Mus musculus: one gene and its partner. The protein of the gene in region 2 purifies or fractionates together with the protein of the main gene of each other region. This does not show direct contact. Links are inferred from orthologs where the notes say so. Each region holds a gene or a part of one and is shown on either strand. Other genes may lie near its edges.

Region 1 (3,969 bases), on a different chromosome or scaffold from region 2:
AAACATCCTAAAAGCTGTCTTTGTATTCAATGCTGGCAAAGGTGGTGAACAATGGGGACTATCCAGCAACTACTGTTCTTTTTGTTCCTTGGGGCACACCTGTGAGAGGAAAAACCTATCAAAACAGATTCCTCAGCTATCCTCACCAATCTTCTCTTGCCTGCACCAAAATCCATCCTTCCCACAAGCCCCACTCTCCAGCACAGGCAGTCTTCAGGTTTGAAAACTTTCCTGGTAAAGTCACTCCGTACAGTGACTAGTGCCTTTCAAAACCGTTTGAATCGCTGCCAAGCTATGACAAGCAGCTACAGCAATGAAGTGGGTTGAAGTTCTCCTGTCCCTGTTCAGTAAACAGTGTGTCCAAGTATGCCCCAAGTTCTCGAGATATGATATAAAAGTAGATAAAAGGTCAAAAATCAGAAAGCCTCTGACTAACTTAAGAAAACTCAGACCCAAGCCACCAAGCTTTTCTTTGGTCTTTTTCCTCAGGCTTGACAAAAGTAAAAATCGCCTTCGAAGTTATTGCTTAGCAACAATGAGTCAAAACCTCATCGTAGGAAAATAGTTAGCTTTTCTATTATCTATAGATGGGGGCTTTAGCTAGAATTTCCACTAAACGATCCATAGAAGGTATCCTTACATAAGAACCCAGAACAGAGGTGAACGTGACTCTAGTCTCCTGGTCTACTCAAACACGCACATTATCTACACCTTACCACCTAAATAACCCTTGATGGCCCCAGCTAACGGCATCTAGCATCCCCTAATGGACTTTGTCTCAGACAACCCAATTTTCTTGTATGGCAAACAGCTATTGCAACATGGCTTTGCTTTCCTGAACACACACTCCGGGACCGAGCCATTGATTGAACCCATGTTTCAGTTCAGCCTGTTGCAAAATAAATAAACGAAGCGCAAATATTGACGGTTCTCATGCAACTCCAAAATACACGAAAAGGGACTCCCTGGAACAGCCACAAATGCGCAAAGGGGAAACAATGGGAGGAGGAGGAGACAACAGAAGGGACGGCCCAGGAAGAGCGACGAAAGGGGGGTAACGTGAATGACAGGGCTTAACGGTGACTCCACACGCCACCGCCTGGACACAAGCCCTAAGTACAGCAGCCCTAGCAGCCTGGCAGTGTGTGAGAAGGGACACCCCCCGCCCCAGGTGACCACCACCCTGAGTAGGTCGACACGCACCTGTGATACTGCGCCTGCAGGAACTGGAATTCCTCTTTAATCCGGTCCAGAGACTCCGGGATAGTGAACTTAAAGGGCTGGCCTGCAGCTTGGTGCGGCGTCTGCAGGTGACCAGCATGAGGGACCAAGGGAGGAGATATGAGGATGAGGGCATAAAGCAGAAAAGTAAGAGGGAGAAGCGGATGGGACATAAACAAAAAAAATAAATAAATACATAAAGTTAGAAGTGGTGGAAAACAGAGGCCCAAACTAGAACCCTCGGTTCACTTTAGAGAGGGAGAAAGCGGATCTTCCTGGGGCCCTAATTTCTCAGGAGGCTCAGGAATAAGTCTGCCTCCAGTGTGGACAGCGCGTGCCCGGAGCTCTGGGGTCACCCGGCCCGGAGGAGGCTGAAAAGGCCCAAATCAGAGTTTCGATGTCCAGGCCGCCCCTCCCCAACTGGTTCGAGAATGACCCGGGACCTGGAGATGAAATGCCAACTCCCTCTCGGCCCCCAGTCCGGGCCGCACTGACTACGCGTAAACAGGCGAGAAGAGGGCTCACTTCGGCCTCGGGATAAGCGGGCCGTGACTGCGCGACGCCCGTCCGCCCGTCTAGACATCCAGTGGGAGGGGGCCGGGCAAGGGGAAATGGGGCTTCGTGGGCTCCCGCGCGGGGCAAGGTCCCACCCACGCCGGCGACTCACTGGGTGCCGGCTCTGCGGGAACATCGCTCTGGCGGCAGCCGCGGCTCTGTTCCGGGATAGCTCTATCCTCCGCGCCACTTCCAACTTGAATCCCGCCGAGGAACGTGAAGCAGCGCAGCAGGCCGGCGCACGGGGCACTCGGGATGCAAGGCCAGGGCGCGACGGGTGCGGCCCCCGCCCTCAGGGCCACATTGCGGGCGGCTCGGCCGGCCCCGCGCTTGCGAGTCTGCGCAGCGGGGGCGCCCGGACCTCCGGTGGCCCTCCACCCGGTGCCCCCGGCGCGCTCCCTTCTGCGGCTCACAAATGCAGGAAGGCTGTGTGTCTCCTCCCTGCGTCGGCGGTCGTGCAGGTGGCGCCTTGGCTAAAACCCACGTAGACAGCCAGCGGCGAGAGCCGCGTCTCGGGTCGGGAGGTCACCCGCTCCCACGACGGTAAGCTCCGGGTCACCGGCGGCTCTCCACCGGCGTTGCCGAGTCTCCGGCGGGGCGTGGAGCTTCGAAGCCTAGCGGGGTCCTGGCAGGGTCACGCCAGTATGCGTCCTCCCTCCAGTCGATGGCTAGTGATCCCGGTGCAGCTCTTTGGCCGCCCGCCGCGCCTCTACCCCGGGCATCAGGCCGCCGGTCGCTCTCCGCGGCTCGGGCGCTCCCTGCGCCTGCCTTCCCCTCCTCGGCTCTTAGCAAAGGGCTGACCAGCTCCTGCCACCGCAAAGTTCTCACGACCCGGAGGCAAACGTCCACGCGACTGAGAGCGCGCTGCCGCTCTGTCTCCCTCCGCGGCGGGCCACGTCGAAGGCGAGTCCCGGCTTCTGCCCCGGGACGCGGGGTCCCCGCCGCTGCTCCTGCCGCCGCCCGCGCCTCTTGCGCCGCTTACATTAACACGCGGTTTCACACTCGCTAGCAAACCAGCACCCCGCCCGAGCCGTGTGGCGGGGGCTGCAAGCACCCAGGCGGCCACGGACGTGGGCGGAGCCGCAGCCGCTCAGCCAACCGCGTGCGCCGCACCAACGTGGGGCACTGACGCAGGCCGGCCGCAGCCTGTGTTGGCCTTCGCTCCGCCCACCTCGCGCGGCCTCTGTGCCGCGTCTCCCCGCCCACTCGCCTGGGCCCCTCCTCCGCCAGCGCGTCCTGTGCGCTCTGAGTGCCGCGGTGCCCGAGGAGCCGCGGGGCGCCCACGCCAGCCAATGGGGAGCGGCTAGACGCCGAGATTGGCAAGCGGCTTCGGAAGGTCGGTGGGAAGGAGAGCGGCGGGCCGAGCTGTCAATCAAAGTAACGTGGGGCGAGTAAGGGAGCGCGCGAGTGCGCGCGAGCCCGAGCGACCTGCGCGCGGCAGGCAAGTAAAAAGCAGGGGGTTGAAGTTTGCAGAAGCCTGTGGCTCGCTCCGCTTTTCCTTGAAGGAAATCTCAGTGAAAGTAGCAGAGACTAACCACGGGGTTTCTTGTTGGGGGAGGGATGCGTCTTGGTAACAAGAACAGAACTCGGCTTTTCGGTATTGGTTCCCTTTGTGCTACTCTGAAGGTGAGATTTCATTCACAACTTTATCGGAGGCTTATTTTTCCGCGAGCTGCCGTTCCACGGACGCACGAGAAAGAAGTTAACTGTGCCTTTGATGGGAAGTGCGTGAGTATCGCAGCAGCTGGCGTGCACACACATCGTGGCAAGACTGGAACCGCTGCACCGGCTTCGTAGGATTTTGCGCCACTTCTTGAAAGGTCGACCTGTCTCCATTTTAGCATGAAAGATCCCTAAGGTGCCGGTGCCGGCAGTCTTTGATACACGTGTTTCAGGCACAGAGGAGATGCGCCCCGTGAGAAATAATGAGTTCCGGTTTTGGAATGCTTTCACATTTGGATAGGAGGGAAATGGCCAAGCGTTTTTTGGAGACTGCCTGGAAAGCACTAGTCAGTTTCAAATGTCTGGAAATGAAAGGCAATGGGATAAATCAACGTTGAGACCTGAAACCTCCCCCTCCCCCTCCCAAGTTGCTTTGGTTGTCCTCCTGGCAGAAGCGTGGAACTACTGAGAATTGGTAAATGAAGCAGCTTGAGGATCTTGTTTGATGAGGATTGACTTAAGAGGAATTTC
Region 2 (7,691 bases):
TTGCTGAAAGAAAAAAAAGAAAGAAAGAAAAAGAAAAGAAAATAATAGCCAAGTGTCTTCACTGTATCTGGATGTCTACAAATTAGAGAGAGGGAGAGAGCGAGATTTGCTCCACCAGAGCGGGCGAGAGCCAGGCCAGACGCTCGCCTTTCTTTTTTCCGCCTGCATCCGCCCTGTGCCTTCGCTGAGGCTTCGCTTTGCCTTCTTCCTCTCCGCGCACCCCCACGGGCCCGCTGGCAAAGTGGGGTGGGGAGCGAGGCGCGGGGGGCGGGGGCCGGCGCCGCGGCCAGGGCTGCCGGGCGGCCGAGCATGGAAGAACAGCAGCCGGAGCCTAAAAGTCAGCGCGACTCGGGCCTCGGCGCGGTGGCAGCGGCGGCCCCGAGCGGCCTCAGTCTGAGTCTGAGCCCAGGAGCCAGCGGCAGCAGCGGCAGCGATGGAGACAGCGTGCCGGTGTCCCCGCAGCCAGCGCCCCCGTCGCCTCCTGCGGCACCCTGTCTGCCGCCCCTGGCCCATCACCCGCACCTCCCCCCGCATCCCCCGCCCCCGCCGCCGCCGCCGCCGCCGCCACCGCAGCATCTCGCGGCGCCTGCTCACCAGCCGCAGCCCGCGGCCCAGCTGCACCGCACCACCAACTTTTTCATCGATAACATCCTAAGGCCCGATTTCGGTTGCAAAAAGGAACAGCCCCTGCCTCAGCTCCTGGTGGCTTCGGCTGCAGCCGGAGGAGGCGCAGCAGCAGGAGGAGGAAGCCGCGTGGAGCGTGACCGAGGCCAGACTGGTGCAGGTAGAGACCCCGTTCACTCTCTGGGCACACGAGCTTCGGGGGCTGCCTCGCTCTTGTGTGCTCCAGATGCGAACTGTGGCCCACCCGACGGCTCCCAGCCCGCCACCGCTGTCAGCGCCGGCGCATCCAAAGCCGGGAACCCGGCTGCTGCGGCGGCCGCGGCCGCAGCAGCGGCTGCAGCGGCAGTGGCGGCAGCGGCGGCAGCAGCCTCGAAGCCCTCGGACAGTGGCGGTGGTAGTGGAGGCAACGCGGGGAGTCCCGGGGCGCAGGGCGCCAAGTTCCCGGAACACAACCCTGCGATCCTACTCATGGGTTCGGCTAACGGTGGGCCGGTGGTCAAGACTGACTCACAGCAACCCCTAGTGTGGCCCGCCTGGGTCTACTGCACACGCTATTCGGACCGTCCGTCCTCTGGTGAGTACCCGAGCCGGGATGTGCATATGTGTCCAGGCCATGCTCTAGAATTTCAAGCCGTCACGCCCGGGAGAGTCCAGTTTGAAGCTCCATCAGCTTCACGTTTTATTTCTCTTGCCCCGGGTCCTAGTCACAACCGATCCTGTGCTCGATTCTGCCCTGCCATGTTGGCCTATTCGACCAAGGAAGTTACAGCTATTGGCACGCACAGGAGGCTCCAGTTTTTGTCCTTTGATTTTACGAACTCTGAGCCCTGAGGTCATTTTTGTATTTTATTTTATTATCTCGAAGAAAGATATCTAATTACTCATTGATCTATTTAGTAGGGAAAGGGCGCTTTGAGCTGGCGGGAAGATAGGCCTAGTTAGTGACTTGGTTCTGCGTCTACCACCGTAGTCCTGTCCAGAACTGTCTTTAGCCAGGGAGATGAACCGGAGAAATATTCTTTGCCGTGTGTTTTAAACAAACACTATGGATATTATACTGTGGAGAGTCCATTTGCATAAAAACAGATATGGGAGAGACAGAAAAGAGAAAACCTCCATCTCTTGCGCCCAGCCCGGGAATGGGGAGTCAACCCGCGTGGGTAGAATGTAGAGGAAGGCCCTAGCCAGAAAGGTGAGTAGCCTCTGCTCGCTGGTGCTGGCAGGCCGTGGGAGAGCAAAACAAGCAGGCTACTGGAAGATTTGAAATCTGGACCATGGGCAAGGGAATCAGCGTGTGCCTGGCAGGGCTCCCCTGTCCCTTCGGCCTGGGTTTCATTCTTTTACTCTCTCTCCTTCGCAAATATGCCCGTTAATGGCTATCTGCGTGACTTAGGACAATTCTCTGCTTTCTTTTCCTTTGCTGGAGCACCTACCTACCCAAGGTCAGCTGCTGGGCCCTAGAAGAGGGGACTCAGGCCTGCTTCTCCTTGCACAGAGCGGGCGTTTCTAGGAGGCCAGCGCCGGTCCCCCGAGGAGAACAGCAGGGGCTTGGGTCCAAGGTCAGCTTTGGGCCAGGCAGGGGGCCGGGCAAAAGGTAGCCACAGGCGCCCCACTGCTGGCTGGTGTCTTGCAGCCTTGCTGCTTCGGGCTGGGTGCGGATCGATGCGCGCTATCAGCCCCCGCCATCTCGAGCCCCGTTATTGACAAGTCGGGCTCCCTGAACCTCCGAAAAGCTGCTTTGATTGACTCGCCTGATGGATAGAGTGATTGAGCTGTCAGGCTGAGTGGGTCGGGCCGGCCAGGAGGCTACGATTTTATTACAAGTGTCCGTGCCTCTGCACACAACAACAACACTACAACATGCTCAGGACGCACCTCCCGCAGCGGAGTCTCTTGGAGGATGCGCACATGTCCTGGGCCATCTCTGCCTGCTTGCCTTATGACTCATCTAAACCCAAGTCTTGCTCAGGAGCAGGCCTTGTCTTTGTTCCTTGCTCCTTTTCTTTTTATAGACCAGAGAAGGCAGGGACCAGATACTTCTCCAAAGGCAGTTAATGTGGAGGAGTGACAACTTAGACGTGATTCCTACAGCCAGTAAGGCCTGGACTCCTCCTCCACACACAGCTACTGACCCTAGGTGCTGGTCGGCTGCTCCATCCAGTTACTCAATTTTTCCAGTAACTAGGTTTGCACATGCCAGCAAAGACCCCTCTCTCAGATAGTTTTAGGTAATAACAGACAGGTCAGGAACGGCCTCCATAGCTATCACTGAGGCCAGCAGTGCCCACATCCCAGCAAGAGTGCCACGAAGCAGGTTTCAACCCTCCAGCCAAGGTCCAGCCTAGTTCTCTCTCCTTGGCTGGACCCCCATACCCACCTTCCACATTAGCATTTGAGAGAGGCCTCATTCTCTTGGAGAATGGCCTTCCTACACCCCATCTTGGGGTAATAGCACAGGTCCCCCCCGCTGTGATTGTTTCTTTCACCAGCATCTCTTGGTCCTTGTTTTGCTTCTGGGTGGGGACAGCAAGGGAAGGGTTATCACCAGCCATGGGCTTCCCAATTTGTTTGTGTTACTTCAAGACTTTTGCACCCTGAAATTATGCAGGCAGGTTTAGAAAAGAGATAAGAGAACCTCCTCCCCCGCCCCACACCATGGAGAGGAGTCCTAAGGGTCCTTCTTTTTTTTCTTTCTGACATCAACCAAGAAGCTAAATAGAATGTCCCAGGCTTAAACTCATAGACCAGGGGCAGCAGTCCTAATAGGAATGGGCAGGCAGTGTCCTGCTTCGCTACTGAAAGAGCTTCCCTCAGGTCGAACAGAAAGAAAAGAAGGCAGAAAGGGATTCCTGATTCTCTGGAGTTGGGTGATTTCAGCTTCCCTGTTCTCTCTGAGGTCAATGTTGAAAATCAGGTAGGCTTCTCTCTCTCTCTCTCTCTCTCTCTCTCTCTCTCTCTCTCTCTCTCTCTCTGTGTGTGTGTGTGTGTGTGTGTGTGTAGCTTCCCAAGAATAAAGTGAGAACCAAAGTAGATCAGAGATCAGCCATTCTTCCCAGGGCCTGACCTTACTGATGTATTTATTCCAGGGCTAAGAAGACATTCTGGTTCAGTGATACCCTAAGTCTAGGTTATACCTTGGGACTCCAAGAACTCACTGTATCTTTAATTGCTCCCCCAGCCCTATTTTGTTGTTGTTGTTGGCCTTCTGGGCTGGACAGTACTGGGAGCTAGGTCTGTTCTCCATCTTTCTTGAATCGGGTGGCCCCTGCAGTCCCTGCCAGTGTGCTTGTTTGGTTTCCGAGTCCCTCCTGCAGAGGGGGGCCTAGAGATCTCAATGGTGTAGAGAGGGGCTCTTTGATGGAGATAGCGGACCCAGCAGCTGGCCTCTACAATCGCCCCGGAAACTCGGGATCCCCGCCCGCGGTGTACTCCACACAATTTTCTCAAGGCTTACTCTGCCCTCTCCCCCTCCCTCTGTTCCTGACCCCCTTCCTCCCCTCCCTGGCCCTGTCCTCCCCGCTGCAGGTCCACGCACCAGGAAGCTAAAGAAGAAAAAGAACGAGAAGGAAGACAAGCGGCCGCGGACGGCGTTCACGGCCGAGCAGCTGCAGAGACTCAAGGCGGAGTTCCAGGCAAACCGCTATATCACGGAGCAGCGGCGACAGACCCTCGCCCAGGAGCTCAGCCTGAATGAGTCCCAGATCAAGATCTGGTTCCAAAACAAGCGTGCCAAGATCAAGAAAGCCACCGGCATCAAGAACGGCCTGGCGCTGCACCTCATGGCCCAGGGACTGTACAACCACTCTACCACCACGGTTCAGGACAAAGACGAGAGCGAGTAGCTGTGGCCAGCTCCGGGGCCCGCGGTCCAACGGCGCCCGTGCCACCTCCAGGCTCCTCGGGGCTGCCGCTTCACCAGCCCCACGCAGAGACGATCGCTATGGAGGGAGGCATCAATCAGGGCGACAGAGAAAGCGAGCAAGAGAAAGCAATCCTCCGAGTGGACATTCACATAGGAACAAAACGGTTTTTGAAACGGGAGTAAGACTCGGACAGGTGCTATGGGGGAAAAATAAACATCTATTCTCTAACTCACTGTATAAGATGAAACTGCGAATTCCTTAAAGCTCTATCTAGCCAAACTGCTTTCGACCGTGTATATATTTAATTTCAGGTAAGGAAAACAAATATGTGTAGCGATCTCTATTTGCTGGACATTTTTATTAATCTCATTTATTATTGTTATAATTATTATAATTATTATAATTATTTTTCCCCTCCTCCCTACCTTGCTGCACCCCCCCCCCCCAGCCCAGTTTCGTTTTCGTTGCTCTTTTCCTTTGAATGTTTTTGCTTCTCTGGGTACCTCCTGCACCCCCAACGCTGGCCCTGGTTTCTCTGGGACTTTTCTTTGTGTGAGTGTGAGTGTGTTTCCTTGTGTGTCTGCCCCTCGCCTCTTCTCTACCCACCCAGGATTCTTCTATTGGTCTTGTCTATCCCTCCCGTAAATCCCCTTCCTTTTCTGGAGACTCCTTGAGAAATACAACCCCACAGACTGCGAGACTGAACCGCCGCTACAAGCCAAAGATTTTATTATGTTCAGAAACCTGTAGTCTGAAATAAAATGTTCACTGTGTTCATGAGTTGCTGACTGCCCTCTTCTTTGTGGGATGAGAAAGAGCCCATCCAGGTACTGTGTGGCGACCACCCTGGCTGTACAGGGTGGGAGCAAAACCCTGGGAAGCTCAGCTATGACTGTAATCATCACTGCTCAACAAATGTTAGTGTGAAAGGGAGTGTATGGCACAGGCTGTCCAGGTTTGCTTTGGTCTGGAGGATATGCCGAGTCCCTGAATGTATTCTAGGCGACCCCAATGTCAGAAAGTCCAGTCCTTCACTGCCCTTCCCCCAAAGGCTCCAGCTGGCTGCTTAAGCTTGTTCAGGCTCAGCCAACTGAGTCCTCTTGTTCAACCTGCTTCCATGAACAAAACTATACCTCTAGGTCTTTTTTTTTTTTTTTTTTTTTTTTTTTTTTTTTTTTTTTTGTGAAAGTCTAAGACTAGAGGCCTTACCAGGGCCTGCAATGGTGGCAGACTGTTTGCAAAGCTGCCCAGCTTTGGCCCAGAGTCTCTTCACCTCTTCCTTTGGGCATGGGATTCCCCTCCGCAGGTAGCTAGTCTGATTTGATGCTCGCAGGGCTTCACTGTGTAATAGTCTCCTCATACTACAAAGAGGAGGCCCGTCTGTGTGAAAAGCTGTATCTAGTGATCCTGTTCAGGGGGTCTGGAAGCCCCCAAACAGCCAGAGGCCTACCTCTCCCTGACCTGAAGCTTCAGTATAGAGGTTCCTTTTCCAAATCCAGCAAAGCTTAGCCAAATTCCTCATTTCAAGGAGAGGAGATTGTACACAGAAGATCCTAGGACAGGCCAGACACTTGGCCAACCCAGAGAACCCTCTGGGGAGTTGTCAGTGAGTGGGACAGACTCTCCAGGACTGACACCCCCTGAAGCTTTCAGAGGCTAAGACTAAGAGCCTATTTAAAGGTTCCCATCTCTCTTTTGTTTAGAATTTTATACACTATAAATTCTACTCTCCTTTTTTTCCCTATATGCAAGATGCATGTAACATGTAAGCAACTATGTATAGGTATGTACGTAAATGTGCCAGATGGGTGTCCATACGTTTGTGTGCACATGTAATAGTGTGCACATCATGGTGAGCCTCGGTTCCCGGCCATTTTGTTTGTATTCTGCGTGTGTTTTTGTATTGTGCAGCTGAGTGGTTGTTACGCTGCAGGGTCTGACACATTATTGGACATTTGTGAGTTCGGGGGTGTCCGTATTTGCACTAGTGTGCATTTGCGCATCAGAACCCTTGTCTAGTGTGTTTGGGACTTGCATGAATATGGGGACCTTTCCTCTAGAGTTTATTTCCTGATGCCCCCTCCCCCAACAGGATTGATTTTTGGAAGAAATGAGAATGGTCCAGTTATCCCACTCTTTTCTTGAAAAAGTCCCCGAAATTTGGCTCAACATCCCGTTTCTCACCAGGGAACTAAAAGTGCTAGGCTCTGTACCCCAGGAAGAGTCCCACACTGTCTCTGTCTAAGGGCTTGGGAACTTGGGGTCCAGGGGCCTGGAGAGCAGTTGGAAGTCATTAAACATTCCTATGGGTCTCTTATGTCTTACTGTTGTTTTGGGGGTGGTGCCTGCACATAATTGGTGTTCAGAGGTGACTGGAAGCATCCGTCTTGACAGTGGTGCTTGGCTTCTTGAGGTTTTGCTGGTTGGCCTTCAGGTGAAGAAGTCCGAGGTCTGAAGTGCTGGCCAGCTCAGAATCTGGAGCCGTCCCCACCCCCAGCCCCCATCTCCCTCTCCCCAAAGGACAGAAAGCACATGGGGATGTGGGTTCATGGCTCTTCTACCTCCTCCTTTACCGGCCATGGCCCCTAACTTAACGGAAGCATCCACTGCCACCCATTTCAGGGGCTAGGACAGAGGCAGCTGCAGGAAGTGTCCCATTCCCGAAGCCCTCCTCCTACCACCCAGAACAAAAAGGCCAGAGACAAGAGATCTCCACCCCCTAACCCCAGGGACAGCAAAGGCCACTAGTCCAGCTCCTGGGTGTGTTGGCTAAGCCTCTGATGGGAGCGGTATTGTGATGTAATTTGATTTCTTACCCATTATCTCTCTTTATCTTCTAATCACGTGGGCAAATAGAGTTTTCTTCATTGTTCGGCAGCAGAAACCGGGGCTCTGAGAACTTGGAAGCTTTTTGTCCTCTGAGCCTTCGTCTTTTTGGAGCCCATACTTCAAAGATTTGGCCAAGGCCTTGTAGTCAAGGTCAGGACCGACCTTCCTCTTCTCTCTCCTTCCGATCTGCAATTTTCATTCTCTCTTATTGGGGCAGCGAAGAAGGGGAGGACGGATCCAGTCAGACCTTATTCAGGCACCCCTTCTTTTAAAAAGAGAGAAGGAGAGAGTAATAATGATCATAAATAGGCATTGATTTCTCGGATTTATGGGGCTGGCTTGGCGAGCTGCCTGTGTATTAAGTGGGGGGGGTTG

The links.
Region 1: the proteins of En1 (region 2) and Tle1 purify together in Homo sapiens (affinity purification with western blotting; 4 studies listed by BioGRID and IntAct, with this or other methods). This does not show direct contact. The link is inferred for Mus musculus from reciprocal best matches to the Homo sapiens genes EN1 and TLE1.

Annotation. Positions count from the first base shown.
Region 1 is NC_000070.6:72,198,094-72,202,062, forward strand, and holds the start of Tle1 (transducin-like enhancer protein 1), read right to left. Parts: upstream 2,801-3,969; 5' UTR 1,913-2,800; coding exon 1,889-1,912; intron 1,329-1,888; coding exon of another isoform or gene 1,305-1,328; coding exon 1,204-1,304; intron 1,174-1,203; exon of another isoform or gene 147-1,173; intron 1-146. UniProt on the Homo sapiens protein: Transcriptional corepressor that binds to a number of transcription factors. Inhibits NF-kappa-B-regulated gene expression. Inhibits the transcriptional activation mediated by FOXA2, and by CTNNB1 and TCF family members in Wnt signaling.
Region 2 is NC_000067.6:120,602,724-120,610,414, forward strand, and holds the end of En1 (homeobox protein engrailed-1), read left to right. Parts: 5' UTR 1-309; coding exon 310-1,198; intron 1,199-4,149; coding exon 4,150-4,466; 3' UTR 4,467-5,268; downstream 5,269-7,691. UniProt on the Homo sapiens protein: Required for proper formation of the apical ectodermal ridge and correct dorsal-ventral patterning in the limb.